4 linked regions of the Pelodiscus sinensis genome follow. The protein of the gene in region 1 interacts with the protein of each later gene in a biochemical or structural test. Links are inferred from orthologs where the notes say so. Each region holds a gene or a part of one and is shown in the gene's direction. Other genes may lie near its edges. The genes, in order: UBE2D1, RNF114, RNF216 and LRSAM1.

What was found.
Region 2: the proteins of UBE2D1 (region 1) and RNF114 form a complex in vitro, tested with the Homo sapiens proteins (3 studies listed by BioGRID, with this or other methods). The link is inferred for Pelodiscus sinensis from reciprocal best matches to the Homo sapiens genes UBE2D1 and RNF114.
Region 3: the proteins of UBE2D1 (region 1) and RNF216 form a complex in vitro, tested with the Homo sapiens proteins (2 studies listed by BioGRID). The link is inferred for Pelodiscus sinensis from reciprocal best matches to the Homo sapiens genes UBE2D1 and RNF216.
Region 4: the proteins of UBE2D1 (region 1) and LRSAM1 form a complex in vitro, tested with the Homo sapiens proteins (2 studies listed by BioGRID, with this or other methods). The link is inferred for Pelodiscus sinensis from reciprocal best matches to the Homo sapiens genes UBE2D1 and LRSAM1.

The regions. Positions count from the first base shown.
Region 1 is NC_134718.1:33,639,867-33,646,909, reverse strand, and holds the start of UBE2D1 (ubiquitin-conjugating enzyme E2 D1), read left to right. Parts: upstream 1-4,020; 5' UTR 4,021-4,184; coding exon 4,185-4,208; intron 4,209-7,043.
Region 2 is NC_134728.1:19,615,524-19,623,148, reverse strand, and holds the start of RNF114 (E3 ubiquitin-protein ligase RNF114), read left to right. Parts: upstream 1-4,618; 5' UTR 4,619-4,721; coding exon 4,722-4,840; intron 4,841-6,083; coding exon of another isoform or gene 6,084-6,199; intron 6,200-6,426; coding exon 6,427-6,577; intron 6,578-7,625. UniProt on the Homo sapiens protein: E3 ubiquitin-protein ligase that promotes the ubiquitination of various substrates. In turn, participates in the regulation of many biological processes including cell cycle, apoptosis, osteoclastogenesis as well as innate or adaptive immunity.
Region 3 is NC_134726.1:31,672,502-31,679,581, reverse strand, and holds the start of RNF216 (E3 ubiquitin-protein ligase RNF216), read left to right. Parts: upstream 1-4,060; 5' UTR 4,061-4,195; intron 4,196-7,080.
Region 4 is NC_134732.1:1,225,395-1,232,325, forward strand, and holds the start of LRSAM1 (E3 ubiquitin-protein ligase LRSAM1), read left to right. Parts: upstream 1-3,926; 5' UTR 3,927-4,305; intron 4,306-6,931. Other genes in the region: RPL12 (large ribosomal subunit protein uL11), read right to left, coding at 421-507, 1,193-1,274, 2,111-2,209, 3,088-3,161, 3,428-3,464.

The DNA.
Region 1 (7,043 bases):
GAGGTCCATTTGGAATTTTTGAGTAAAGTTCCATAATTAAGAAGACAGGGAAAAAATGCAACTTAAGTACCCAATATGTTTGGTGGGAGCATGATAAGGTTTAAGGCAGTGGTCACCAACCTTTCTACACCCAAGATAACTTTTTAAATGTCAGGACAAGCCAAGATCTACCCCGTCCCTTCCCCAAACCCCTCCCCTTTCCTTGAGGCCCAGCCCTCTCTGTTCCCCTTCTCTCCATCACTTGCTATCCATGACCCTTTTACACTCCCAGGTTACGGCTACACTGTCGCTTTTTTTCGGCAGTAAAAAAAAGAAAGAAGAAATTTTTCCAACATTTGACCTATCTAGACTGGGCCAAATGTCGGAAAACCCCCTTCTTTTGGAAACCCCCTCATTCTTTGTGGAACGAGGAATACAGGGGCTGCCAAAAGAGCGTGTTTTCCGGAAAAACTCCTGCAGTCTAGCCATACCCTCACTGTGTTGAGACAGGAAGTGCAGGTTCTAGGGTGTGCATGAGGGATTTAGGTATGGGAAAGAGTGAGAGGTGCAAGCTTTGGGACGGAATTTGGATGCAGGAGGATGTGGAGAAGGGGATGTTGGCTCAGAAAGGGGGCTCCAGGCTGGGGAGTGCTGGCTCAGGTGGAGAGTTGGGGTGCTGAGCAAGCCACAAGCTTGTGGATGTGAGGGTGCAGGAGTTAGGGTTGAGGACTCAGGGCAGAGAGGCTAGGAGTATGATGGGCTCAGGACACAGATTTGCAGTGTGTGTATGGTGCAAGAGTGTTGTGGCAGAAGATTGAGGATGTGGAGGTGCAGGAGTTTGGGAATGTGAGGCGCTCAGGACAGGAGGTTCCAGTGTATGATAGGCTCAGATTTGGAGTCGGGTGGGGGGTACAGGAGTGTTATGATGCTGTGGCCAAATGAGGACTTGGCCCCAACTGGGGGCTTGTTGGCCAGGCTTCATTTTTAAATAAAATATTATGTCAAACACAAAAGGTTTCAGCATTGTCTTTATTTATGAGAAGGGTGGGTAACCTGTTTTGAGTCAGGGGTCACTGGCCCACAGAAAAGTCAGTCAGGACCATACAATGAGATACAAAAACACAACCCCTCCAAACCCCTCAAACCTCACTAATGTGGCCCCAACTGTATTTGTGGGTACCGGGACAGCGTTCTGGGGCAGGGTGCTTGTGGGTGCTGGGACAGGGTGCCAGGGCAGGATGTTAATGGGTGCTGGGGCAGGGGACAGGGTTCCAGTGGGTTCTGGGGCAGGATGCCAATGGGTGCTGGGGTAGAGGACAGGGTGCTTGTGGGTGCTGGGACAGGGTTCTGGGGAAGGGTACCAATGGGTACTGGTGCAGGGGACAGGGTGCTTGTGGGTGCTGGGGCAGGGTATTCGTGCGGGTCTGGGTGAGAAGGAGGGGACAGGGACCGATACCTGAGGATCCTGCAGCTGCATGCCAAGGCCCAGAAAGTGCGCAGGTTGTTCCCCCATCTCCCAAACAGCGGTGCGGTACCTGACACGCTGGTCCATTGCACACCTGATGACTTTCTTCATGGGGAGAGGGGGAGTCCCAGACTGCGCCAGCCCCAACTCCTTGGGCAGCACACACCTTGCTCCCCTGCTCTGCACAGCAGCGCACACCGCCTGAGCAGCCGGAGCCAGCGCAGTCCTGGATTCCCACCCCCTCCCCCATGCGCAGGAAGGCACCAGGGGAACAAAGTCCCCAGCGCACGATGGACTTGTATTTTAGGTACCACGTCGGCTGTTGGGGCAGTGGGGAGAGCAGCACTTCCAGGACCTGGTGCGCAACTGAAGAACTGCCCCCCAACCCCGCAGGAAGCCCGCGCTACCTCCATGGTCCCTGGAAGTAGCATCAGTGTGGCCTGCATCTTGGGGGTAGGGTGATAGCGAGGGGGGACCCCAAAGCCTCGCGATCAACAGGTCAAGCCTCCGGGATCAACCAGTTGATTGCGATTGACGGGTTGGTGACCATGGGTTTAAGGTTATATGCCCTTTGCATCCTTTCACATATCTATTTATGGTGGAGAAATGATCATGGAGTAGAGGTATCTCTACTTTTGAATTTACCCCTTGCTTTAATCCCAGGCAGAGGTAGTTAAGATGATGCATTTCTATGCCCTGCTCCGTTATGAAGGAGATGGTGGGCTGGGGCACTTGACTACTAGACTAGATCCTGGGGCTCTCCTGTAGGCTGCCACACTAAGCAGCAGTCAGCTAGGCAGATTAAAGGGACTGGCTTATGTCTCCTCCGACCCCCGCAATACCCCTGCACATACATACCTCACCTGTCCTGAGCCCCTTCTTACACCCACAACCCTGACTCCTTCACCCACCACAACCACAACCCCCTGCTCTGAGCCCTTCCTCAACCACCCCCAACCTTGTAAACCAGAGGTTGGCAACCTCCTCCTTAGCCAAATATTGCTCAGTAGGGAGCCACATAAGGCTCTTTTGCTGCTGGAGCTCAGCCCCTCCTCCTCACAGCAGAGAGTTCACGCTGGCAACTCCAACCTCATGTTCCCCCCTCCCCACCGCAAGACTGAATCTCCAGTGCCATCTTCCTGCAGGAGGAGGGGGAAAGAAAGCCCGAAGCCTCCCTGCCAGATCAAGCTCGTGGGGAAGAAGCAGAGCCAGAAGCAGCTGCGTGCATTGCGCTTTCCTTTCCCTGGCTGCGGGAACATCAGAGCATGGACATGCTTCCTGGAGGCTTTCCCCGCTGCTCCCATTGGCTGGAATCTGGCCAATGGAAGCAGCAGGAGGCTTTGTCTGAGTCTCCTATATCAGAAACTCTGCCCTGAGCTCTCTGCACTCCACCTCTACACTTACATTTCATTCAGATACCATTGTATCGCAACCTCCTAGCTTGATCACACCCCTCCCCAAGGGAATGCCACATGACAGTACCTGTAAGAAATATTAAGTTACTTTCATTAACCTCTGATCTCAGGCTGAAGGGCAGGGCTACTCAACATGTGGCCTGCAGTGCGGTTTGGGTTTACACAGGGCTCATCACGCAGCCCATGGGTGGGATCCTTTGAACATGGCATCCACTGGGAACATGCTCCACAATGGCAAGTCAATAAATGGTCTTCTGTTGATATGCATTTTAGTAGTTAAATTCCTAGACTGTCATTGCTCATTAAGGGTATGTCTACATTGCAAGCTTATTTCAGAAAAAAGCTATTATAGAAAATATCTTCCAGAATAGCTTATTTTGAAATAAAGTGTCCATACTACAGGGAAGCCTCCAAATTAGGCCAAGGCAGGCAGGCTCCCCTAATGTGGATGCGCTGTCTCAGTTTAGAGCCCCAGAAGGCACTGGGGAGGAAAAACTTAGAATGGCCCTGGTGAGGAGTTATTTCGACATAGCAGCACTGAAGCATCCACATAAACCCTCTTCTGAAAGAGCTTTTTTGGAAGATGCCTTATTCCTCATGGAATGAGGTTTGCCAACGTCAGAAAAAGCCTTCCTTTATTTTGATTTTCTTTCAAAATAACCCAGTTGATGTGTGGATGTTAGTATTGTTTTTCTGGAATAACAGCTGTTATTCCAGAATAACAGTGCAGTGTAGATGTACCCTAAAAGTGCTGTCATATGGGTGGAAATCGAGTAAATATTGCATTTTATTAATATCAGCAGAACTGACTTAAATGGGCCTGTGTGTTCTGTAATCTTGCCTTAGTCTTTGTATTGATGCCTGTCAGTGTGAAAGAAACTATTTGCATATATTTGAATATGCATGCAACCACACTGAAGTTGTGGCCCTCAGCATGTAGCTTGAGGGGCTTCCAACGTTGTCCCTGTGGCCTCCAAAGTTGAGTAGCCCTGCTGTAGCGTCTTGCAGCAGCCAGCAATTGCCACTTCTGCCTTCGGGCAGTCAGCTGGCTCCCTAGGCCTGCTGGCTCCGCGGCCTGACTGCAGGGGGCGCTGCGCCTCCTCCCGCCCGGGACTGCATTTCCCAGCATGCAGCGGGCTCCGGGCTCTGTCTATAAGTAAAAGCGGAAACAAAAGAGCCAGCGAGTGAGAGCCAAGCGGATCCGGCCTCGGCCCCTGACGCCCTGCGAGAGCCCGGCCCCCGCCCGGAGCGACTGCGCGCACCCAGCCGGGGAGCAGCCGCCCGCCGCCGCCTCGCAGAGCCCCGAGCCGGAGCGTGTCTCCGCCATGGCGCTGAAGCGGATACAGAAAGTAAGAGCGGCCGCGCCGGGCCCTGCCGGGGGAGCCGGGCCTGGGGTCCCCGGGGGGAGCGCGGCCGGGGGAGGCCGCTGAGGAAGGAGCTGTGCGGCCGGGGGGCTCGGGAGCGGCCGGGGGAGAGGAGACGTGCAGGCAGAGGGGCGCTGGGGGAAGGGAGGCCCCACTAGAAGGGAAGCTGATGGCAGGGGAGAGGGGGATTGCAGGGGAAGAGAGGCTCAATGGGCAGCGAGAACTTTGTGGTGCCGGTGTCGGAGGGTAGAGCAGTGGGTGTGAAATCTTGGCTGTGTTTCTCCTCCTCGGAGTAATGAGGTTCTCGTGTCTTTGCTCATACCAATGGGGATATTGATGGTTTGTTGCTTCTGGGAGACTGTTCTTTGTTCCTCTTACCCCGTGGAAAAGGAGTGCCAGTCTGTGGGTTGGAGGAGGATTGCCTGTAGAACCCTGTCGGAATGGTGCTGTGCAGCTGCATAACAGTCTGGATAAAGTATAACCTTGTGCATACACTAACCTTCACAAGGCCCAAGTGAGGTGGGCAGAGTTGCAGTTACCTTACAGTGGGAGAAACTGAGGCACCAAGAGGAGGCTTGCCTATACTAGGGATGTTAAAAAGAAGGTAATTGGATAAACATTTAACAGCTGAAAATCTCAGCAGTTACTGCAGTTGCAAGTAACCGTGTATGGGGCATGCACTGGCTCTTGCCTGCCACTCAGCTCCTTGGGGAGCCAGCTACCACCTTGTATTGCTGCCTCTGATACTGACATCTGCCTTCAGTACTACACAGTATTCCTCTTGTATTGGCTAGCGACTAGAAAGTATAACCATGTAAACAGTTAACCAATAAGCCTGGACTCATTGGTTAATATTCACGGTTACATGTGGGTTCCCATCCCACTCCTGGGGAGTCAGGTGGTTCCTTGGGAGGTGGTGTGCACTGGGAGTAGGCTTTTAAGAGGCAGCAGCTGGCTCTCTGGGGTTGTATCTAGACTAAATAGCTCCGTTGATGAAGCCATGTGAAGTAGTTTACTCGATATAGTCAATGAAGCAGGGATTTAAATAATCCCCGCGTCATTAAAATAAAAATGGCCACCACGCTGTGCTGACAATCAGCTGATCCGGCACAACATGGCAGTCTAGACATGGCGCGGTGGACAAGGGAAGCCTTTGTTGATTGCTCTGGTATGCCTCGTTTCACTTTATCACCGCGCGGTGGCCATTTTTATTTTAATGAAATGGGGATTGTTTAAATCCCTGCTTCATTGACTATTGAGTAAACTACTTTACATGGCTTTGTCGATGGAGCTATGTAGTCTAGACACACCCTGGGAGTGGGGCTGTGGATGGGATCCAGCAGCTGCCTCTGCACTGCTGCCTCTTAAAAGCCGACTCGCAAGAAAGCAGTTGGCTCCCCAGGAGCAGGATGGGAACCTGCATGTAACAGCGACAGAGTCCTGTAGCGCTTTAAAGACTAATAGATGTATTGGAGCATAAGCTTTTGTGGGCAAAGACCCACTTTGTTATGTAACAGTGAATGTTAACCAATGAGCCCAGGTTTATCAGTTAACCATTTACACGGTTATATTTTCACATCCTAGGCTATATAAGGGAAATACTGTGTGATACTGACAGCAAGTGTCAACAATAGAAATAAAACTAGACTGATGCTGAATGTAGTTGAGTTGATATGTAATCAAAGAAAAACTGTGTTCAATGCCACTTCCAAAACTGCATTAATTCTGGTCTGGCCAGTTATTGGTAGGTTCCATAGCAGATCAGTGGAGGAGCTGAGATTAGAATTTGAGAGTTCATGTTTCTCAACACTTAACCGCCAGAAGATCATGTTGCTTCTCAACGGGATCAGTGTTTTGTGTTAATGTCAGAGAGACTTTGGTTTAATTCATCTTGTTCCCCTGATTGCTAACAATTGCTCTCCTAAATCTGTTTGCTTTTCTATCGCATTGGGTCTGCTCAGTAAAGCAGATTGTATTTTACTTTAGTTGATCATTTCCTCCCTAATGTTGCATACTTTGTCCAAGGGCTGGTAGTCGAAGTAAGGGCCTATCTTATGTAGCTTGTGTCCAGGTTACAGTTATGACAGTAGCACAGTTTACCGTGCATTGCTTTGTTGTGTAGCATTGTAGTGTAGATGCTTCTTAGAGCAATGGAAGGGTTTTTTTCCATCAATGTAAGATCTCCAACTCTCTTGAGTGACAGAATTTTTCACACCTGTGAGCACTACAGTTATATTGACCTAACTTTTAAGCATAGACCAGAACTTTGATTGTCTTGCCCCCAAAGATTTTACAGTCTTTTTTGATTATGCTCCTTTGTACAGTGCCTTTCACAATGGGGTCCTGGTCCATGACTGAGACTCCTAGGCAATTTGATAATACAAATTATAATAATGAATAATACACCATTTACATGCCACCTTAGGTCTGAAACTGTTGCAATGGAAATGCATCTGCTACTAACACAGATGTTCCTAATTATCAGCTAGGGTGGGGATATGAGAGTTTAACTGATAAGCATCAGTGTGTCAATTCCTGTTAACAGTTGAATTCTGGGAGGGATCTGCAAGGCCAGCGGCCCATAGCCTGGGAGTCTTCCCTCCCTATCCTTACATTCCTAGATAACCCATTTAACCGTGTAATCAATAGACTTCTGATTGGTTACATGTTTACTAATTTTATACATTTTTACATCTCAAATTCAGGGTATCTTGTTGTGATCTTCCTGCAGAGCATGTTTCTCTCTGGCAACTTTATCACTTGAAAGGTACAACCTGGACATCTGATAGGAATTCTGTACCTAGAAAAGATGGGTTAAGG
Region 2 (7,625 bases), on another chromosome or scaffold:
ATCGCAGCTCCCATTGTCCACAGATTACTGTTCCCAACCAATGGGAGCTGCAGGAAGCAGTGTCCTAGTCTGCACCACTTCCTGCCACTCCCACTGGCTGGGAACGGCCATCCGCGGGCAGCAGGAGGTGCGATTGCCGGTATCTGTGGAGGCGCAGGTAGATATAGCAGCAGCAGCCTGCCAAGGGCTAACCCTGGCAACCACCACTGTTTTATTGCTCACACCTCCTTTAAGGCTAGGAAGGACCATCATGATCATTTAATCTGACCTCCATCATGCTGCAGGCCTCAGAATCTCACCCACCCACTCCTGTAATCGATCCCAACCTCTGACTGGGTTACTGAAGTCCTCAAATCATGATTTAAAGACTTCAAGTTACAGAGAGTTTACAGTACATTAGTTTAAACTTGCAAGTGATCTGTGCCCTGTGCTGTAGAGAAAGAGAAAAAACCCATCATCTTTGCTACTCTGACCTGGGGGGAAATTCCTTCCTGACCCAAAATATGGCAGTCTTGTTAGATCCTTAGCCTATAGGCAACACCCACCAGCCAGACACATGGGAAAGAATTATCTGTAGTAACTCAAAATCCTCCTTATCTCGTGTCTCATCACAGGCCATTGGAGATATTTCCTGCAGTTGCAGATCAGCTACATGCCATTGTAGACCGTCTCATTGTACCATCCCCTCTCCCCATAAACATCAAGCTCAGTCTTGAAGCCAGTTAGGTTTTTTTGCTCCCCTTGAAGGCTTTTCCAGAACTTTACTCCTCTGAAAAGTCCTCCTTAACACAAAAGAGTTACTGTACCGGATCAGACAATCTGTTTCTTAAAAACTTGATCCTGTATCTCTCAGCTGAAATGCTGCATATGGAAGTGTAATGAGTACTCAGGGGAACCCAGTTCTGCACTAAGGATAGTGATTCTGCATGGCTGACAAGTAACTTCCTAATAGCAAAATTAAAGCTCAAAGGTCATTTGACAAAATATTTCATGAGAGTGGTAAAGATGCTATTTGAGATCTTCAGATGTGCTCATTCTTCCCCAGCATTGCTTCTTTTTACCCTGCACTGTGGCAATGGGGTAGACATGCAAGCGGCTTGATGCTTATTACTTGCTCATTCCACAGGGCTACACTTGGGGCTTGATTCAAAGCCCATTCCAGTCAATGGGTGTCTTTTCATTGGCAGCCCGCCTTTCCTTCATGGCCCGCCTTTCCAGAGACCATCTGTACACGCTCATGCTCCACACACTGCATTTCCTCACCCTCGTGTCCCGCTCCGATACCAAATGGCAGGATTATTTAAGATCAGTTGAAGGTAAGGAATCCCGACGGACCAGTGTTTATTCCACCTTAATCCCACATCCCATTGAGGACATCAGCTGGCAGCTCCTCCATGGAGCCATGAGCATGGGTGCATACCTGGCACAGTTCACCCCCGTCCCAGACGCCTGCCCCTTCTGCGGCGTGAGGGGAAACCTGGTGCATGAATATCTGGAATGCACCAGGTTGCAGCCCCTTTTCCAGCTCTTCCAGAACCTATTGCTGAGGGTCTGGCTGCACTTTTCCCCTCACCTTTTTATTTATGCGCACCCCATCCATGGCCCCACAAAGTCACAAGACCTCCTTGCCAACCTCCTCTGGCTCTGGCAAAAGCCGCAATATATAATACCAGGGGGAGAATGCTGGATGAGGGGGTGCTCTGCAACTGTGGGGCCTACTTCCGTTCCACCCTTGTGTCACATATCTAGGCAGAGTTCCTCTAGGCAGTGTCCGCTGGCTCCATAAACAGCTTTGAGGAGCAGTGTCCCCATCCGGTTCCCTCATTTTAAACCTTTGACCCGCACCACTTGACCCTGTTTTTCATCATTTGTCCCTCGTATTTAGTTGAGCCCTGGGCCCAGTTGTCCCTCCTGCAAGGCTGGGGGAGGGGCTTTTAGAAGTGGGTGGGCTGGCACCCGCCTACCCCGTTGGGTTCAAATAGTGACTTCACTGGGCTTACAGTCTGGCTCTCAGAGCTTAGTACTTGCACCCACACATAGCTGCTGCTCACACTTAACTGCAGTGCAGCAGCCTTATGTTCCCTTTTGTGCAGTGAAAAAGGATTTACAGGATGAAATTGTAACTCATAAGGTGATAGACAAATAATGCCCAATGCCTGCCATTTCAGAGGAAGATGAAACTCACCAATAACACAACTTAGTCAGTATATGACATGACAGGGTGTGTCCTGCACTGAAGAATTTAAACTATGAAGCATAAGACTCAGCATTCCTATTTTAGCATTGCTATATATTTCTGTCCGTATTTTCTAGCTTGTATTAAAGTCAAGATTCTGTTTCAGTCTTTGATCTCCTCCTGCTGCAGTTGGCTGTCCACGGGAGAAAGCATTGTTTTAAATTTACATCCCCAGTGTATTGTCATCTGTTTACCTCCCTATATTACAGGATGATGGTATGAAGAGATGGGGCTGAACTCCTTTCACTGAACCAGTCATATTGTGAACTATTTAAACTAAAGCCCCTTCTTCTGCACCGTTTCCCTCCACTTAATATAGCAACCCCGATACAATTAAAGACTATATGTGCAACCCCAGTTTCTAACCATCTCCAGTGTCTATCTCTTGTGTGTCATTTACACATTTCTAGTACAGGCTGTTTCAGCAGAGATGTGTTCTCATAATAATTATAATAATTTTACATGTATATAGTACCTCAGTCCTAATTATTAATTAGTATTATTAATCATATATATGACAGTAATATTTAAAGATCAATCAATAATGGGGCAAGGCACTGTATAAATACAGTGTAATGAATGGTCCCTGGCAGTGTGGAATTTACAATGGAAATAGATCAGACAGACACAGGATGGGAGAAGGGGTAGACCACACAAGTTGGTTGAAAAATATGAGGGCAACAAACACTTAAGGGCCACCTTTTTTGGAGAGTGTGGAGTGCGGATGGAAAGGAAAGTGCAGAGCGACAGGGCCGGGGAGAAGATGGTAAGAGGGTAGGGTTGCCAGGTGTTTAGTTTTGAATCAGACAGTCCAGTATTTGAGCTTTCTGTTCAGGAAACAAATTGAGAAAATATAAATGTCCAGTATTTTCTAAATAAGATGTAATGTAGATTGTGATGTAACGTCAAGTGTGTCTGGTATTTTTGTTGAAACCATCTGGCAACCCTATAAGGGGGCAGGGGCGGTGTAAAGCAGAGGTGAACAGACTGTGAGGGAGAGGATTACAGCAAGGAGACAATCTCCACAAGGCAGAGAAAGGCCACTCAAAACAAAGAAGTTAAATGTCTAAGGTCTCTGCTTTGGCTGCTGGCTAGAGTCTACATGGCTCCATCCTCTCTGCAGTTACTTTTCCACCAAAGGTCACATGGGAGGGAAGGCACCACTTAAGTCCTAGTGCTGCCATAGTAAGTAGGGACGTACCAAATTCACAGCCATGAAAAATGTATCATGAACAGTGAAATCTGGTCTCCTGCTGTGAAATTTGGTCTTTTGTCTGCTTTTACCCTCTACTATAAAGTTTTCACCAGGGAGAGCAGTGTTTCTCAATTGGGAGTTCTGACTCAAAAGGGAGTTGTGGGAGAGAAGTTGTATGGTTATTTTACCAGGGTTGTGGTATTTTCACCCTTACTTCTGTGCTGCCTTCAGAGCACCTCACTCTGAAAGCAGCACCCCGCCAGCAGCAGCACAGAAGTAAGGGTGGCAGTTCATACCATGCCATCCTTGCACTGCCACCCTCAGAGCTGGACAAGCTGGAGAGTAGCAACTACTGAGGGCTTCAGTTCTGCAGGCAGTGTTGCAGAACCAAGGGTGGCAACACCATTTTGTGACATCCTTACTCCTGCACTGCTGCTGATGGTGGCTCTGCTTTTTCAGAGCTGGGCTCTTAGCACTGTAGCTGCCATGCTAACGGCAGCGCCACTGCCAACAGCAGTGCACAAGTAAACGTAGTAGCACCGCAACTTTGTGATCTCCCCCCAACTCCTTTATGAGCCAAGACCTCTACAATTACAACACCACGAAATTTCAGATTTAAATTGCTGAAATCATGAAAATTGCAATTTTTAACATCTCGGACCATGGGGCTGAACAAAATGGACAGTGAATTTATAATCAACACTGCATGAGCTGTACACACATTGCATTATTGAAGGTGGAAGGTGTAGCCAAAGGCACATATCACTCCATATATGGCAGAGGCAAGGAGGGAGCAAATTTTAGCAACTCCATCAGTGGCTGGTTGCATCTATGCCATGTTGTAGCCCTTTTCTCTCCTGCCTGGCCATGCACTTGCCTGCCTGTGCCCATGCACGGTGACTTCCCTGCCCAAATGTTCCTTAGCTGAGTCACTTCCCGCCCAGTTTTGTCCCCTGGCCACTCCACTTGCCCACTATATCCTGAGTGGCTCTGGCTCTGCTCAGGCTCCTCCCTGCCTATTTCCTTACCGAGCTCTCGCCCCACCCACCTGCCCTGCGCAGTACGGCCCCTGGCCAGCTGTGGGTGGAGCTGAAGAAACTCGATCCGTCCTGGGGCGTGTCCGAGCCGCGAGGGGGCGTGGCCAGAAGCCGTTGCTGTCTTGCGCGTGCGGATTAGGCCGCCGCCCTGTGGCCCACTCGGAGTGGGCGTGGCGGAGAACTAGCCCCTTTGGGCCGCCGTCGCGGCGCCCGGGCTGCTTTGCGGAAGTGCGGGGCGAGCGGCCGGTGGAAGATGGCGGGGGTAGAGAGCGGCTCCCGGTACCCGGCGCTCCAGGACCCGCTGTCTCGCTTCACCTGCCCCGTCTGCTTGGAGGTGTTCGAGAGCCCGATGCGGGCCCCCTGCGGCCATGTGTGAGCGGACCCCTCGGGGAGGGCCGAGCGCGGGACGGGAGGGTTCCGTGATATCGGGGCTGGGGCGGATCCCTGAGGCGGGGGGGGCCCCTCTGAGCGCGCGAGAGGGCGGGGGGCACGACTGGTGGGGCCTAGGCGCGGGCACTTGGAGGCGCCAGGACGGAGTTGTCACTAGTGCACGGTTCCCGTGTGGGCCCCCGCCACACACCCCCCCCCCCCCCAGCCTGGGGAGCGGGCCTGAGCCCTTGCGAAGAAATGGGTCTGCTGATGCTGTAGGATTCCCGAGAAACGCTCCCCCGCTACCTGTTAATCCTCCTCCTGGAGCCCGTTAGCCCCATTGGGGCTCAAAGCCACAGGCCATTTCGTTGCGGGGGGAGCTTTTCCTGAGCAAGCCCTGAAAGATTGGGCCCTAGAGGGATCACTTTTGAGCACCTGGTAGAAAATCCGACTGTTCAAATGGATAGCAGTGAGTGCCGGGATTTCCCATGGCTAGAAAAGGGTGGAGTCCCAGCCGGTCGATTCTGGGAAACTGTACCAGAGAGGGAATAGAAAGCGAACCAATTTAATTGACGGCAGCATGTGCTGGTGAAGGAGAAGTGTGGAATGGGCTAAGGAAGAAGCTTGGCCTTTTTTATTTTCAGGTATATGGGCTCATCTGCAGTGCAGTGGTGTGAGTGTTATGGAAACACTAGATAAAATGTGGGTGATTTGAGCTGTGGATAGAAGGGCTGAGAGTGGGACACCGACAAGATGGGTGGGGTAGACAGCTTTCTTACAAAATGAGCTCTCTGTTTGGCTGTGACTAAAGTGAAACTTAAGTACAGTTCTGTCTCTGCTGGGACAAGATGCCCTCCTTTCCTGTAAAATTCACAGGAGAGGCTTCTAAGAGGAAATAAGCCCTAAGGTTAGACCTGCCTTATGTTAATCACACTGCTTTCCTTTTCTACAGTACAATGTTGCTGTCGCAATAGTCCATTAAAATGGTCTAGTTAATGTTTTCTAACATGACATTTTTCTCAGGTGAAATGTACCATTGAAAGAGCAATGTACATCGCCTTCAAGTTCTTGGGTGGAGGGGGGGCCTAAAGAAAAGGGTTTTGCAGAGCAAGCTAAGGCCCCCTTCTTTCTCTTTATGCATCTAGGGAGAATAGTTGGGTGACTTTTACAGGTTATATTTCAGATTACTAAAAATGAAAAATGAAAAGAATATTTTTTCAGTTTGTTTATTTTGTGTGTTTGACAGCACTTTGGTTAGCTTCTCTATGTAATCATTGGGTTTTGCTGTTTGTGTGGATTTTTCTATTGGAAACAGTGAAGAGAAACTTTGAAAAGAGGAAATGTAGCATAAACCACAAATTGGTAAGAGCATTCGGGGACAGGGACATGACTTGAAACTGTTTTTAAATTGACTAGATTTACAGTGACTTGGCTGTCCTTTAGTATAACACACGTATCAACAGATTATTTGTCAGTGGGTGTTGTCACTTGGGACTTTTTTCTTTTAGAGTAGGTCTCTATTTTAATGGGAACAATACACGTATATTCTACAACATGCATTTTTACAAATCGTATTTCTCCCATATTAGCTTTTGCACTCCATGCCTGCAGGAATGTCTGAAGCCTATTAAGCCAGTCTGTGGAGTCTGCCGCAGTTCCCTCTCTCCTGGCAGTAGAGATTTGGACCTGGAAAAGCAAATTGAAATGACAGAAACCACTTGTGATGGCTGCAATAAAAAAGTATGAAAGAACAAAAAAGGAAGTACATATATAGTTAAAATAGGCAAACAGCTTACATGGAAATGCACTATTTTGCACATCAGCTTTCTAGGGAATAAACAATCAGAACTTTAGTTTTGATAAATAATTTGCACGGACTGCATATAGGGCAGGGGTGGGCAATATGCGGCCTGCAGGCTGGATCTGGAGTGCCAAACCACCAGACTTGGCCCTCAGCTGCCTCGCTGGGACCCTTAGGCACAGAGCAGCTCATGCCACTTTAAATGGCTGGCTGCTCTGGACACTGGTGAGGAAGGATAGAGGCTTCTCCTGCTAGTCCATCACCCAGCAAAATCTCTCAACTGCCTTTGGCCAGTTTTCGGCCAACAGAAGCTGAGAAATTTTGCTGGGAGCAGGGGCAACATGTGAACCCTCCCCATGCTGGAGTAGAGCCACATGGAGCATCCAGGTGTTTTGACCAGCTTGGGACAGCAGCAGACAGCCTGCCTCCAGTTTCTGCAGGGCTGCTGTTTGGGAGCCACCTAGGTAAGAGCCTCTCAGCCAGAATCTGCCTCTGGCATCCCATCCCCTCTTTTTCCCCCACAACTACCTGTCCTAGGCCACCACTTCCTCCTGCCATAGGGTCACCAGCTTAACCCTCTATAGCCCCCTCTCCCCAACTGTCCAGGTCACAACTCCCTCCCAGGCCATTGTACCCCCTCTTAAACCCTTTCCCCAGGCCAGAATCCTCTCCTGCACCCATACCCCCTCTCAGACCATGCATCCAAGCTTCTGCCCCATATCATAACCCTGTCTCACACCTCAACCTCCTACCCCAAACTCCCTTCTGCATCCAAATTCTGACTCAGACTCCACATTTCCTTCTATAATAAAAGCGCAGCCTTTGATCACTTACCAAATTCTTGGAGTTCGCACTTCCCACCCCATTAAAAATTATTGCCCCCACATGATATAGGGTAATGATACCCTTTCCCCTGTTGCTGCTGTTTTTTCATTAATAGGTAGATTTCAGGTACAAATACACAGTTCACATGAAGCTGATGATGCA
Region 3 (7,080 bases), on another chromosome or scaffold:
CCAAGCAAAGCATTTGATTGTGGAAATTAGCTCAACTTCCTGCCTAAAAAGTCAGGCAAAAGAAACTCTGCCACAGCCCAGTGAAATGATGTGATCAATGTTGCATGCTGTGCATTGGCTGGATGGCTAATTGCTAACAAGTAGCCATGGGGAAGGGGAAAGCAAGGGGATTGGACACATGGGGGCATATTCAGCTGTCAATCTCCATGAGGAAATCTCATTAGCAATAGTCAGAATCCCCCAAGAAGAAAAATTGGACTCCCAGTTGTGGCAGTTTCTAGTTGCAGTAGGACCAGCCTCGTTTCAGTGCAGTGGAGGTGGGGGCAGGATTTTTCAGAGTAATCCAGCGTGGTGCCCAGCCAGTGCATTGTGCAGATCAGCTGAGCAGGGTTTCCTGGACATTGCTGTGCTGGGAGCAATGGAACGCTTGGTGAATCTATCGCTACATGGAACCTTCCGCCAGTGCGCTCTTCAGAGGACAGGGTTGAGGACCTGCAGGGCTGTTGGGCAGCTCTACAAGCTGTGTTGCCCGGGCCTCCGACAGACTTGTCATGCCCTGGGGCAAGGTCGGGGGAGAAGGGGCAGTGCCACGCTCCGAGAAGGGGCCAGGTCTCAGGTGGAAGGGGTGGGGCTTCACCGTCCTCCTTCAGGCTGCCCTCAGAGCTGCCAAGAACATGCCGTGTGGCACTCCAGTGGTGATTTAAAAAGCCCAGGGCTCTGGCCATCACCACTCCTGTGGCAGCAGTGGTGGTGGCTGGGAACCTGGGCCCTTTTGAATCTCTGCTCCCCAAGGCAACTGCCCGCTTTGCCCTACAGTTTTGTGTCCTACAGCAAAAGTGTTTGCGCCTTCAGTTCTGTAGCCTTAGGATTTTGAAATAGGGTTACCAGGACTTACTGATCAGTAATAACGCTCAGAGAATTTCCATCCAAGTATCAAAGAAAGAGTTCTTCAATCCTCAGTACAATCGCCATGTTTCTTTCCATGGTTTGACAGCAGATAGGGTTCCCCTTGGCAGGCATGGATAAGCCAGTGGTCCACTGGACCCATTGTTAATGGCATGGGATATAAATTCAAGCAGGTTTCCTGATGATTTTTGCAGTGTTACATATAGTGTGTACGGCTGATCTACTCTGTCACTTTAATTTTGCATAAGCCCAGCCTCGATAATGGCTTACAATTTCCATACTCTAAAATCTTTTGGTATTTATTTATTTGGTGATAGTTTATTCCTTTCATCCAGATGAACATAGTGTGGCCAACTACCAGATTTACAGCTGCATCTAAATCAATCAGAAACTTCAGACTTGTGCCTGTCACAGTTAGTTTTAGCAGTCATGTGAACATGTTATAGCCTATCCGGTTTTCCAACCAATTTATTTGCAGCACTCACCTGAAGCCTTGTTCTTGTCGTTAATGTAGAACTGGCGCTGTGTTCCTACCATTTGTTTGTACTGCATCTTGTCCAATGGGGCCTTGCTCCCTGATTGCAGACCATGGATGCTGTGGGAATACAAATAATAAATTCCAGCCTGACATTTTATACATGTAAATGTTTCCCCCTCTTTTCATCTGATGTATCTTTAGCACTCTTTGAGTCAGTCTCTACTTGGTGAACCTTTGGAAACTGCAGTTTCTGTTGCATTGCACCTTGTATGAAATTCTGATTTGAAGCTTTGTCATTGGCTCCTTGCCTCAACATATTGACTTGACTTTCACAAGTTTTCTTTCTTTCTTTCATCCATCCATCCAGGCCACAGTGCTCAATTGTATTTACACCAAGGCTGTGTCTAGACTGGCCAGTTTTTCCGGAAAATCAGCCGCTTTTCCGGAAAAACTTGCCAGCTGTCTACACTGGCCACTTGAATTTCCGGAAAAGCACTGACTTCCTACTGTAAGAAATCAGTGCTTTTTGCGGAAATACTATGCTGCTCCCGTTCGGGCAAAAGTCCCTTTTGCGCAAAACTTTTGCGCAAAAGGGCCAGTGTAGACAGCTCAGATTTGTTTTGCGCAAAAAAGCCCCGATCGCGAAAATGGCGATCGGGGCTTTTTTGCGCAAAAAGTGCTTTTGCGGAAAAGCGTCCGTGCCAATCTAGACGCTCTTTTCCGCAAATGCTTTTAATGGAAAACTTCTCCGTTAAAAGCATTTCCGAAAAATCATGCCAGTCTAGACGTAGCCCAAGTCTTTTCTGAATCCAGAATAGTGGATTATGTTGCTTTAAGCAACTGTATTTACTTTTACTGACAGGTGAAACCAAATCTGGGACCTCTGGAATTTAGCACATGAGCCAGCTGGCATTCAGCTAAGGCTGTAAAGCACACTCATTTTCTCTCTCTCTCTCTCTCTCTGTCTCTGTCTCTGTAAGTGGTCTAAATGCCACTCCATGGGACAGTGAAGCACACCCAGTAGGTGAGTTACAACTACACATTTAAGCTCTGGAACAGAGTTATCCAGAGGTGAAAAACTTGCTCTTCTGAGGAAGTGGGTTTTGCCCAGGAAAGCTCATGAACAAGGAATCCTTACTTGATCCATTTGTGGTTCTGTTACATTCCAGGAGCCTGATTCTTTACTGCTTTGCACCTTGTATGGTCATGCAGATAGCAGGGTTTATTTCTTCCATACAGGTAAACGAGGGAAAACATTCTCTGTTCTTTTCATCTTAATTGAATCAGTTATATATATATTGGATTGAATATTAGTCATTTAGATACTATGGGTATGTGAGCTATAAAACTAGCTAAACAACTAGAAAGCTAATTCAGAATCACCTTGAGCCTGTAGAGTCAAAAGTTACCTAATAATTAAGGTTGCTTTTTTACTGTATTGTAGCAATGCCATTTGCTATTAACTTCTGTGATTAACATGTAATAATGTCTACTTTTATATAACACTTTCAGTAGATCACAAAGCTTTTTATAGTACTCAATATAATTGGTCACCTTTTATAGATAACAACTGTAGCACTGACAGGTGGAGTAGCTTGCTTAAGCTTGCCCTGGGAAGGCAATAGGACGGGACTGTAGGGAGCACAGCAGAGCCCAGAAGAGGGGGGCGGAGCTGAACTCTATTATTTTACTAGTGGATTGACCTTGTAGAAACTGACTGCTCTTTTTTTAATTTCAGTTTTATTTTCTTTGATTTTGTTACCTGACACCATCTTCAATTGTTTTAAAGCTACTGTAATTTTTCCCTATATGGTACTCTTCCAGTAAGCATGCAGTTAGATAGAAGTTTGTATTGTTTTCATGGGAGCTGATAGGATCACTTCTAGCCAGTCCAGTGTCTCAAGGGGATTAGCCCCTAATGTGATTACCACCAGTGTATGTGGTTGAAACAAAGGACTGGCGCGCACACACACAGCTGTAACCCATATTCAACTAGGAACTGAACCTCTGCTCTGTGGGGAGGAAGCTCACCCTTGTGCAAAGGGCTAGCAAGGGACCCCCTTGGGGCTGAAGTGATCATGGGCGACAGTCAGGGGTGGAAGCAGCCCGTTGCTGGATTCCTCCCACTGACCATTACTGTAGGTCAGGCAGTGGCCACCCTCCCCCCCTTGTATCTCAGGTGGATATAGCTGGGCCCTGCACTCGCCCTGTTCTGAGGGGGGCAGTTTATGGTACATCTGCAGGCCATTCAATGGCCCATGTTGGTCTCTTCACCATGTGGCCTCAGCACCAGATTGACCCTGGTGACAGGGGAGAAGTTCAGGGGAGGGGGTACCCCCTTTACAAATTACAATTTTGATGGGGCGCAGAAGGGCGGTGCAATGCTACCACCTATGCCTGGCCAGCCCAAAGCCCTGAGGCTGCCTGCCCTGCACCCTCTGGTCCTTATTACTAGTGCTCTAATCTCCCTCCCTCCATGGACCTGCCCCATCCCCGCAGAAGCTCCGCCTCTCCTCCCCCTCCCCCGCAGAAGCTCCACCCCCTTCCCCTCCCGGCAGCGGCTCCACCCCGCGCCGGAGCAGGCGGGTTCTCACCCGCGGAGCAGTAGGGGGCGCGGGAGGACCAGCCCGAGTCGTCTCTATGGTGCGCAACTGGCGACGGGCCCCTCCTGAGCGCCCTTCGCCGCTGCCCTTCCTCTCTATGGTCGGAGGGGCGGTCACGTGGCGCGGCGCGGCGCGGGCCGGAAGGAGCCTGCCTGGCCGCGGCGGCCAAATGAAGCGGGGGCCGGAGATGGCGGAGCGGCCCGGGCTGGTGAGTACCCCTCCCCCCCCCGGGCAGAGCCGCGCCCCCTAGGGCGTCCAGCCCCTCCCCCCGCGGAACCCCCGCCCCAGCCGTGGGGAGGGCGCCGGGGCTGGGCCCCAAGGGGGCGAGGCGGGGAACCCGGACTCCTGGGGTCGGTGCCCGGCCCTGCACCTGGCTCGCCCTGTGACCTTGGGCACGTCACAGCCCCGCCCCCCTCGCGCCCCTCCGGGCAGGGGCCGGGGGGCGTCGCCGTGGGGATGGGTCCTCTGGCCCGGGCGTCCCCGAAGCCGGCGCGTGGGGTGGGGGGAGGTGCTGCCTGTATAGCGCGCCTGTAACAGACGTGCCCCCCCCCCAGGGGCAGGACCTGCCCTTTCGCCTCAGAGCCCCGCGCTGTTCTGGCTGAGCCCCGGTTTGCTTCGGCGCAGCTGGTGAGCGCGGGCCGCCTGCCCCCCGTCGGGCCGCCTGCCCCGAGCTCCCAGCCCCCGTGTGTCGTTGTGTCCAGCCTCGCTCGGGCTAGGCCCTGCGGGCGTGTTGACTTGGAGAGCCGCTAGAACAGCCCCACGCCGGAGTCGGGTCCGGCCCAGCCCACAGAAGTACATGAAGTTCTGTCCTCCCCTTCTCGCCCCGCTTCCTGGGGGGGAAGGCAGGCTTCGGGCAGAGTAGGAAGCTTGAGGGATGAAAGGAGCTTCTACTGTGGAAAACACAACCTGGCTGCTCACCGAGGTTCTCATTTAAAGGGGACATGGGTTCAGATGCTAGCTCCATGCGTTGTGGAAGCGATGTGCCGGTGTGGTAAGAGCTCTGCCACTGTGGTAATCGATGATACAACGGTGAAAATGGTTGGTTTTGGCCTGTGCCTGTGGTTCTCAAACTTCATTCCACTGTGAAGCTCTTCTGACCACAGAAATCACTACATGGCTGTGTGTGTGTGTGGCTGAAGCCTAAGTCTCATCCTCACACCCTGCCTCTGTGGGATGAGGAGGAGCCTGAGCCCAACCCCCTGGGGTGGGGCAGGGGGGCAAGGGCAAAGCCCTAGTGCTTCAACCCCAGGTAGGGAGCCGTAACCTGACTGCTGTCACTCTGGGTTCCAGTTTTGGCCCCAGCGAGTCTAAGCCAGTCTTTGCAGCTCCATTAAAACAGGGTCTCAGCCCAGTTTGAGAAGCACTGTCCTATGTGAAGTTTTCTGCAGTTGCTGCCATTGGAGCTACACCTCTTGTAGACAGACTTTTGTTGGCACGGTCCAGGTTTAAAACAAAACAGTCATCTCAAGATAACATGAAGCTTTGTATTTTAAAGTCAGACCCTTCTTCAGTTAAAAGCAGTGAAAATTGGAAGTAGACTTGTATCTTATTTCCAGTGTCAATGGGGGAGAAAAAAAATTCAAAAACTGCATCTATAGTATGATATATCCAATCTAATATAGAGTATAAGCTTTTCAGGTTCAAACCTCTTATGTTGGTATTGCACTGAAGACACTGTGGGTGTTCCTGGAAAGTAGTAATATAGGTCTGCCAGCTTTACTACTGTGAGCCATCTTTCTTAAGAGTTCCATGGCAGATTTTACAAAAATGCTAATGAGAATTGGGCACTTATGTCATTTGTGCCTTTTAAAAATTTCCACCTTAATCACGGTCACGTCACTTGTATCTAGTAAATGTCTGAAAGGTTGTATGTGCTTAGATTAACTATAGACTAGCTTCAGTTTTTTTAAAAAAATCTTAAAATAGGCCTACTTAAAAAATACCTACAGTACAAAAAATAAACAGTCCATTTCCTCTTTTTCTCTGTCAAAACTGGGTGAAATTTCAACTTCTTTTTAAACTAAATGTTGTCTTACTCCTCCATCCGATAGCTTTTGGTGGTGTTTACATAAAATGAGAAGTATGCTCCAGCCACGCTCACATTCTTTATTAGAAGAAAGTGTGGAATACTTCAGGGCTACAACTTAATTTATTGGTGTCTTTCACCAGGACTCTCTTCAGTAGGTGGTGGTGATATTTCTGAATGTTTCCACTCTGATCCAAATAGCTGTGATAGTTAGCTTTTTACTCGAAAGAAACTGAATCTTCTTGCTAAAATCAAGCAATTTTGAATCTGTTTTTGTCTCTCTTCACACTTTCCCATCCTAGAATCTTGGTTCTTTAAGTGTCCTCTGTTCCAGTGGTTCCTACCCTTCCTCAGACACTGTAGCAAGTAGCAGCTTGACAGTCATAGCTCTCCGGGAGAAGATGGACTTCAGTGAATAGAGATCAATATGCTCTACCTTATGCCCATGCCTAGAAGTCTCTCTCTTGTCCCTCAATGCTGGTGGAGGAACTGGAGTCTAAATGTTTTCTTCCTTTAGTCCCCTGGAATCTTCAATAGCTGTGTGGGAACAGAATGGATATCCGCTACTCCACTGACACAAATCTTTAGCTGTTCCTCCTAGACAGTTGTATAGTGCCATATGGAGGGGGAGGGGTACTAGCTGTAGGGCATTGGTCACCAACCAGTAGATCGGAATCTACTGGTAGATCTTGGAGCCTTTGACAGGTGATCCTGACAGGTTTGGCCAGGAAGCTATCAAGTGCTAGCTCTTCATCTGCCCCTCTCAGCACTGCCCTGCTACTCCTGCCCTCTGCCTTGGAGCTGCCCCTCAGCCCTGGGAGCCTCTTGCTTGCTGTGCAGGACATGGGAAGAAGGGTTTGTGTGTGCTCATGTCAGGGTGCCCCTCCTCCCACCCTGTACCCCAGCTCCACAGAGTTGGGGGCCAGGGATGGAGAGAGTTTGCTGGCTGCTTTTGGGAGTGGTGCAGGGCCAGAGTAGGGGTAAGCCTGCCTTAGTCCCCTGCACCACCATCCAGAAGCCAATTGTGGTAAGCAGTGTCCAGCTGAAGCCTGCCTTCTGAACCCTGA
Region 4 (6,931 bases), on another chromosome or scaffold:
TTGGAGCCCTCCCCTACCCTCAGGGCTGCAGGGGGGGCGAGCCATTCCTGGGAGCAGCATGGACCCACAGCTGGCAGACTGGTAATCCTGGGTCCTGACAGGTCAGGTGTGGCCTGGCCAGTTTGCCCACCCTGGTTTATACTGTACTTTAGGAAGCTAATGCCCAGGTATCAGTCAGCAGAGGCCCAGCTAGTGCCCTTAGGAACAGGCTGCATTGAGACAGGGTCAGGAGCATGGGGAAAAGTCCTGTTCTGCCTCTGCCAGGTTGCCTGACTGCTCATGAATCCACCACTTCTCACCAGGAAATCTACGTACAGCAGAGGCTGAAGTTTTTGGCAGAGCCCAAAGCTGCACTGCAGGCCAGCTCCTGGGTAGACAGGCACATGGGGGGTTGCGCGGCCTGTCTGAATTCAGGCTTACCAGAGAGCTCGCGGGCCAAGGACCTGTGCCTCATCTGGCGTGCAATGTTCACGATCTCATCGAAGCTGACACTGCCGCTGTGTTTAACTGAACAAAAGCAAACACCAGTGAGGTCTCAAGAGGAGCATTGACCCAGTCCCTTCAACAGCTCAGCCCTGGGAGCGGAGAAAGCAGCACTCCTTCCTTGGTTTATTCTCTGTCCCCAGACTTCGGCACAGAGTTACCCACAGAGAGAATAACCCTGTTTCCTGAGCTGGTGTTTTCTATCAGCGCACCACTGGATTGTACCAGCCATTTCATACTTGACAGGTACAGTGGCAGGTGGCTGTTTTACTGAATTTTAGACCAGACAAACGCTAGCTGATCCAGTGGTTCTCAAACTGGGGGTCATGACCCCGTCTGGAGACCATAAGCCCCACTATAAATGCTGGAGGTGAAGCGTTAATATAAAAAGGTCTTTAATTTATAAAGGGAGTCACCCTCAGGCTTGCTGTGCGCAAGGGGTCACTGTCACACGCCTGAGAAGCACCCAGCTGTGTCAGTACAAGGAACCCGACAATTTCGGTTTCCTGCATCCCAGGAGTAATTTTCTCTTGAGATAGATTTAGAAACGTGAAGGGCTTCCCGACACTAACAAATGCCCTACAAGGCTGGCAAACACTCCCTTTTTCAGGAGTACCCTAAACGCAGGTAGGTTAAGTGGCAGCCAATCAGACCCGGGCTAGGCTCACTACTTAGCAAGTCACCAAGTGAAGTTAAGAGGGACGCTTACTGTTCTTCTGCTTCTTCCTGTCCCGAGGAGGCTCCTTGAGGGCTTTGATGATCAGGGCAGAGGCAGAAGGGACAACCTCAATCTGAAGGAGGGGAAAGAGGTTCTCTTTAGGAGATACTGAGGCCAGAAAGCAAACCCAGAATCCTTGAGAGAAGAACCAGTCAGTCGCCCCACAGAGCCTACGAAACACATTGTGCACCTCATGCAAACAGTCACAATTAACGAACGTACTGGAAAATACCTGAGCCCTCATTCCTGTGTGTATGGGACATGTCTGTTCTTTATGGAAAGATGTACAGCTCCATCCCAGCTCTCCATGGGAGTACCTCGGTCATTGCCATACAAGACAGGCATGGTGGCACATGGCTACAGCCACACTGCAGAGCAGCTGAAGGATTACTGAGACAGTGTTCCCCGGCTTGCCACGTGCCCCCTGGCATTCTCAGGCAAAGAACCCCGGACATCGGTTCCCAGTAGACACCTTGGCAGTACAGCGTCTGTCACTCCCACAGAATGATAAGCCCATTTATTCCTCTCCATTCTATTAACCTTGACTAGTGCTCTGATGCCTGGTCTTGACTCCAGGCACTCCACTCATCACACAGCACCTCCAGCCTGGACCGCCCCAAGTCACACTGCACTGCAATGCACTTGCCTCTGGATGGCAAGCTAGAGCCAGTTCCTGCCTTGGCTCTACCCCAGCATGCCGGAGCCTACAGATATTAGGAGGGACTTCGTTTTTAAGGTCTCGTCCAGAAGACCCCCACACAGAGAACTGCATGGAACTCATTTTATCTACCTCGGAAGGATGAAGGGCTGAGTCGACCCTGCCGGGATTGACACTTGTGGTTCCAGCAAATCCAGGTACTCCAAACCTGGTGCTTCCACCACCAAGCCATCCCTTCTGGCATTGAGTACCTGAGCTTGCCTGTTCTGGATCGTGAGTTTCACGGTAATCCTCAGCCCCTTCCAGTCACCTGTTGCCTTGGCGATGTCATCACCAACCTTTTTGGGAGACTGAAAACAAGAACAAGCATTTAATTGATTTTTCCGTCGTCAGAGTGACTTTCCTAACATGCTTTTCTTTGATTTAGGATGCACATTTCATGATCTATACCCAGGGTCAGTGGTGTGAGCAGGTACTCATTTACCTGCAATCTCATGGAGAGATGCTCCCAGCAGAGCAAGCCACAAGCCCAGAAGCAGAAGCAGCAGGGACTGCTGGACACACATGAGCCCGTCATACAAATAATATGCTAAATTCAGTGTCTTGCAAGTTGGCTCTCTGCCCAGTCAGAGGTGATGGTAAACTCACAGCTATGATAACCCCCCACCATTGTACAAGAGGCAAACCTTGGAGCGATTTCCATCCACTGACAATAGCCAAACACTAACCACTAAGGCTGCACAGAGCCGCCAGCTAAGAGGGAAGTGGGCTCCGTGGATTCCTGTAGTTAAAAAGGTATCTAGCTTAGGATACCTCAACGCATGGCTCATCTGCAGGCATGCAGCTGGGCGAGGTGGGCGCCAGCTCACTGTGGGAGAAAAATCACCCTCGACAAGGGATGTTAAATCATGTAACATGGTAACCACCAAACATCTTAGCGGCTGCACGTGTGCTGCAGGCGAGCAGCAGAAAAGCCTGGCTTATACCCAGAGCAGGCAGCGACGCCTCCCAGGTACCAGGGCCACAAGCCCATCCCTGCCCTGCCCCAGCAGGGCCACCTCCCGGGATGTGCTGTTCAACCCACACTCACTGGTTAAATGGCCAGTGGCTGAAGCTGGGCATGAGCCTGAACCCCCATTATTGCCCTTGAGCAGCTTTCAGCAGCAGGCAGGAAGCACGTGCCAGCCCCAGAGCTAGACCCAGTCACCCCTTTCCCCGCGGCACTTACCAAGCCCAAAGGGCCGATTTTAGGGGCCAGAGCGGAAGTGGCCCCGACCTCCCCACCGGTGCATCGCAGGAACACTGCGGGAGAGACAGCATCAGGGGCCGCACGGCAGGATCCGAACCCGCAGCAGAGTGGCCCCTCCCAGGGGGCGCCAAGGCAGGGAGCACGAGCCCCCCCCCCGCCCCCCACGACCCCTCCCCGACCCCTCCCCGGCCCCCTTCGCCCGCCCACCCCCCCCCCACGACCCCTCCCCGGCCCCCTTCGCCCGCCCACCCCCCCCCCCACGACCCCTCCCCGGCCCCCTACGCCTCCCGCGCCCCTCTTCCCACCTCCCCCAACGCACCGACTTTGATCTCGTTGGGATCGAACTTGGGCGGCATGGCGGCGCGGGCCCGAGCCGGATGGAGACGGATGCGACGAACCTCCGGCCCAGGGCAGCGCGCAGAAGAGACCAGCCCCCCTCCGACCGCGCCACTTATACTCCGAGATCTCGCGAGACATAGGAAAGCCGCACCCCGGCCGCCATGTTAGCTGTGGGCAGAGACTCCTGTCACCATATTCGGTGTGGGCAAGGGCCCGAGCGAGGGGGGGGGGGGGACTCCGGCCGCCATGTTAGGTGTGGGCAAGAGCCCGAGAGGGAGGGGGGGGGGACTCCGGCCGCCATGTTAGGTGTGGGCAAGGGCCGAGCGGGAGGGGGACTCCGGCCGCCATGTTAGGTGTGGGCAAGGGCCGAGTGGGAGGGGGGGGGGGACTCCGGCCGCCATGTTAGGTGTGGGCAAGGGCCGAGCGGGAGGGGGACTCCGGCCGCCATGTTAGGTGTGGGCAAGGGCCCGAGGGGGAGGGGGACTCCGGCCGCCATGTTAGGTGTGGGCAAGGGCCGAGCAGGAGGGGGACTCCGGCCGCCATGTTAGGTGTGGGCAAGGGCCGAGCGGGAGGGGGACTCCGGCCGCCATGTTAGGTGTGGGCAAGGCCGCCAGGAGGCGCCGCCAAGCGGGGAGCTGGGTCTCTCCCTTCCCTCAGTGCCGTTCCTGCCTCCGAGTCCGAACCCCGCGCGCACGGGGGGTGACACGATCGCAGCCCCCTGGCGGTCGCTGTCGGAGCTCGGGCCCATCCCCCCGGCGAGTGGGACGCTCTGGCCGCGCGTCTCTGTGGCGGCGTAGTCACGTGACAGCGCCGCCGGGGGGGGGGACCCGGAAGTTGCTCTGGTGACAGCGGGGAGCGGTGAGCGGGGGCGCGCGCGGGGGCTCTCAGGGGAGGGGGGCGCCCCCCCCCCCCGTGTCCGGCCCGGGTCTTCTCGGGCTCCGCAGGCCCGGCCGGCAGGCTGCCCCTCCCCCCCGAACGCCCCCCCCCGGCCCCGGGAGGCGCTGCCAGCCGCGGGGGAGCAGCCGTGGCCCCGGCGCGCGGGGAGTGTCCTGGCCAGGCCCCCCCCCGGCCCGGGCCCGTCGCTCCCTGTCCCGGCTCGCCCCGAACGTGCCGGCAGCGCCCAGCGCGGCCCCGGGGCCCTCGTGTGAAACGGGCCGGTAGCGCTCCGGGCTCGCGACAGTCGGTGAACGGGACAGTCGAGTCCCCAGGGGTGGGGCGGCAGCCAGAGCCCCCCCGCCAGGGAGCCCCCCCGCCGAGGAGCCCCCCCCGCCAGGGAGCCCCCCCGCCAAAGAGCCCCCCGCCAGGGAGCCCCCCCCGTCAAGAAGCCCCCCCGCCAGGGAGCCCCCCGCCACTCCACGCTGCTGCCTCGATCACAGGCAGCAGCTCCGGTGCCAGGCTGGGGCTGGTCCAAGAGGGACTGGCCCCTCGCTGCCTGGCTGCCTGTCGCCCCATGCTGCTGTCTCTGATACAGAGGCAGCAGAGTGGCAGCAGCACCTGTCTGGGGTAGGGCTGAACTCCTGGACCGTGCCTGCCTGCCTGGCTCCTAATATAAATGCAGAACCGCGGCGGGGGTGGGTCCCAGTCCTGGCATGAGCTAGAACTAAGCTGGACTGCTGGCCAGCCTGCTAAAAAATGTACTGATGGCAGGTGGCGGGGTGGGGGAATGCATGGAGTCCATAGCATTAACCTATACGCTTTTGCTTATCAGTTAATCGACGACACTTTTACATCCCTAATTCTGCTCTTTGTTCCCTGTCTTTAACCAGTTATTGAATACACTCCCCCAACCGATTCTGTTCATACAGGTGTCTGATCATTCTGTTCCTTACTTTAGTTTCAACCGGTTTGCTGGTACTGAATTGCAGGGATTGCCCCTGAACCTTTTTTTAAAAAATTGGTGTCACATTAGCTATCGTCCAGTTCAGGATGTAAAATCCTGTTTAATCAGATGATGTCTGATGTGGGGGGGGGGGGGGGGGGGGCTGCTTCAGCCTGGCTGGAATGTCCCCCACCTGCGAAGCAGCGCTGCTGCTCTGGCCGGGCTGGGGCCCCATGTGGGCCGGGTTTGCTCCATCCTGGCTGGAGCGCTCTCATCCGTGGCATGCTACTCCATCCAGGCTGGGCCTGCCGTAGGTGGGGGCTATCCTGGTTGGGCTGGAGCATCCCTTACCCACAGTGCAGTGTGCCCTGTCGGGCAGGGCTCTGCTGCAGTCCAGGCAGGCCACAGGTTAACTGGGGACATCACCCAGCAAGGGAGATGTTTACCAGTAAACCATTAACATCCCTGCCTCCAGTCATCTGGTACAAAAGTTGATTTAAATGGTAGGTTACCACAGTTAGTGGTCCTCGTTTGATCTCAGTTCCACCCGCCAGATGAACTGGCTTCCAGATTTCCCACCCTCTGTTTTCTTCACTGACTCTTGGTTCCATTTTCCTCTCCATCCCCTGGCACCTCCAGCCAGGCTCCTTGTGCACCCAGTTCCAGCCGCCCCTCCCAGTCCCAGTGCCTGCCTCCCTGCCCAACCAGTCCTAGCCTCCCCTCCTTGCCTGACTCAATTGAGCTCCTTGCTCAGCCAGTTCTAGGCTCACCCTAACTTCCTGTCACAATCTATTCCCCACCCAGTCTCAGTCTCCCTGACTCCTTCACCCAGTTGACTCCTTTCCCACCACTGGGGCCCAGCTTTTGTCCCTTCTGTGTTTGGATCAGGCATCTTCCTCCTTCACACGGCCTGGGTGCCAGCCGGAGGAGCAAGGGGGTCTTTAGGAACACAGGAGACACAGGCTCCTGGCTCTCAATTCCAGTGCTACGTTCCACCCTCATCTGGAGCAGGAGCTGCAGATAAAGTCCGGCTTTTCCCCTCTAGCCCTGAATTGGTCAGTTGCTTTGTGAGGAGGCTTTAAGGGCAATCTGTTCACAGTGACAGGTGAAAGTTGTGAGACGTTGGAGCGTGCTCAGCCCTGTGTGAATTGGGATTTTTCTCAAAGGCTTGTAACTCAGCCATGTTTGGGTGGATTTTCACGCAGAAACCAAAAAGCCTTTGGGTCAGCAATGTGCTATCTCCTGGCTGAAAATCACCAGCTTCAAAGCTTGGGAGCACTAGAGTATGTTAAAAGAGCACCAATTAAAAAACAAAACACTCCACAAAGACTTATCTTCCATTAAGACGGCCAGATTTGGATTGGCACTATATTCCTAATTCTCTCGTTCTGCTTCTGGTGCTGTCTGCTCCTTGTTTCGTTGTGATTGCTGGACTGCTCCATTTTGAGGTTATTCCAAGGAAATGAAAGCTGCCACATTGTTCATAAATGTCGTGTCATTACTGTGTTTTTCATATTATATATCTTAATGTCTGGTGCTGTGATGCTCCCTCAGTGTCTGCCGTGTTCACACAGCACAGTGTCAGTCACACCCAGTTCCACGCTCAGCTCTTCTGAGAGAAAACTATTCAGTTACGCGTTGCAACCCTGTATTCCACAGCTCTTT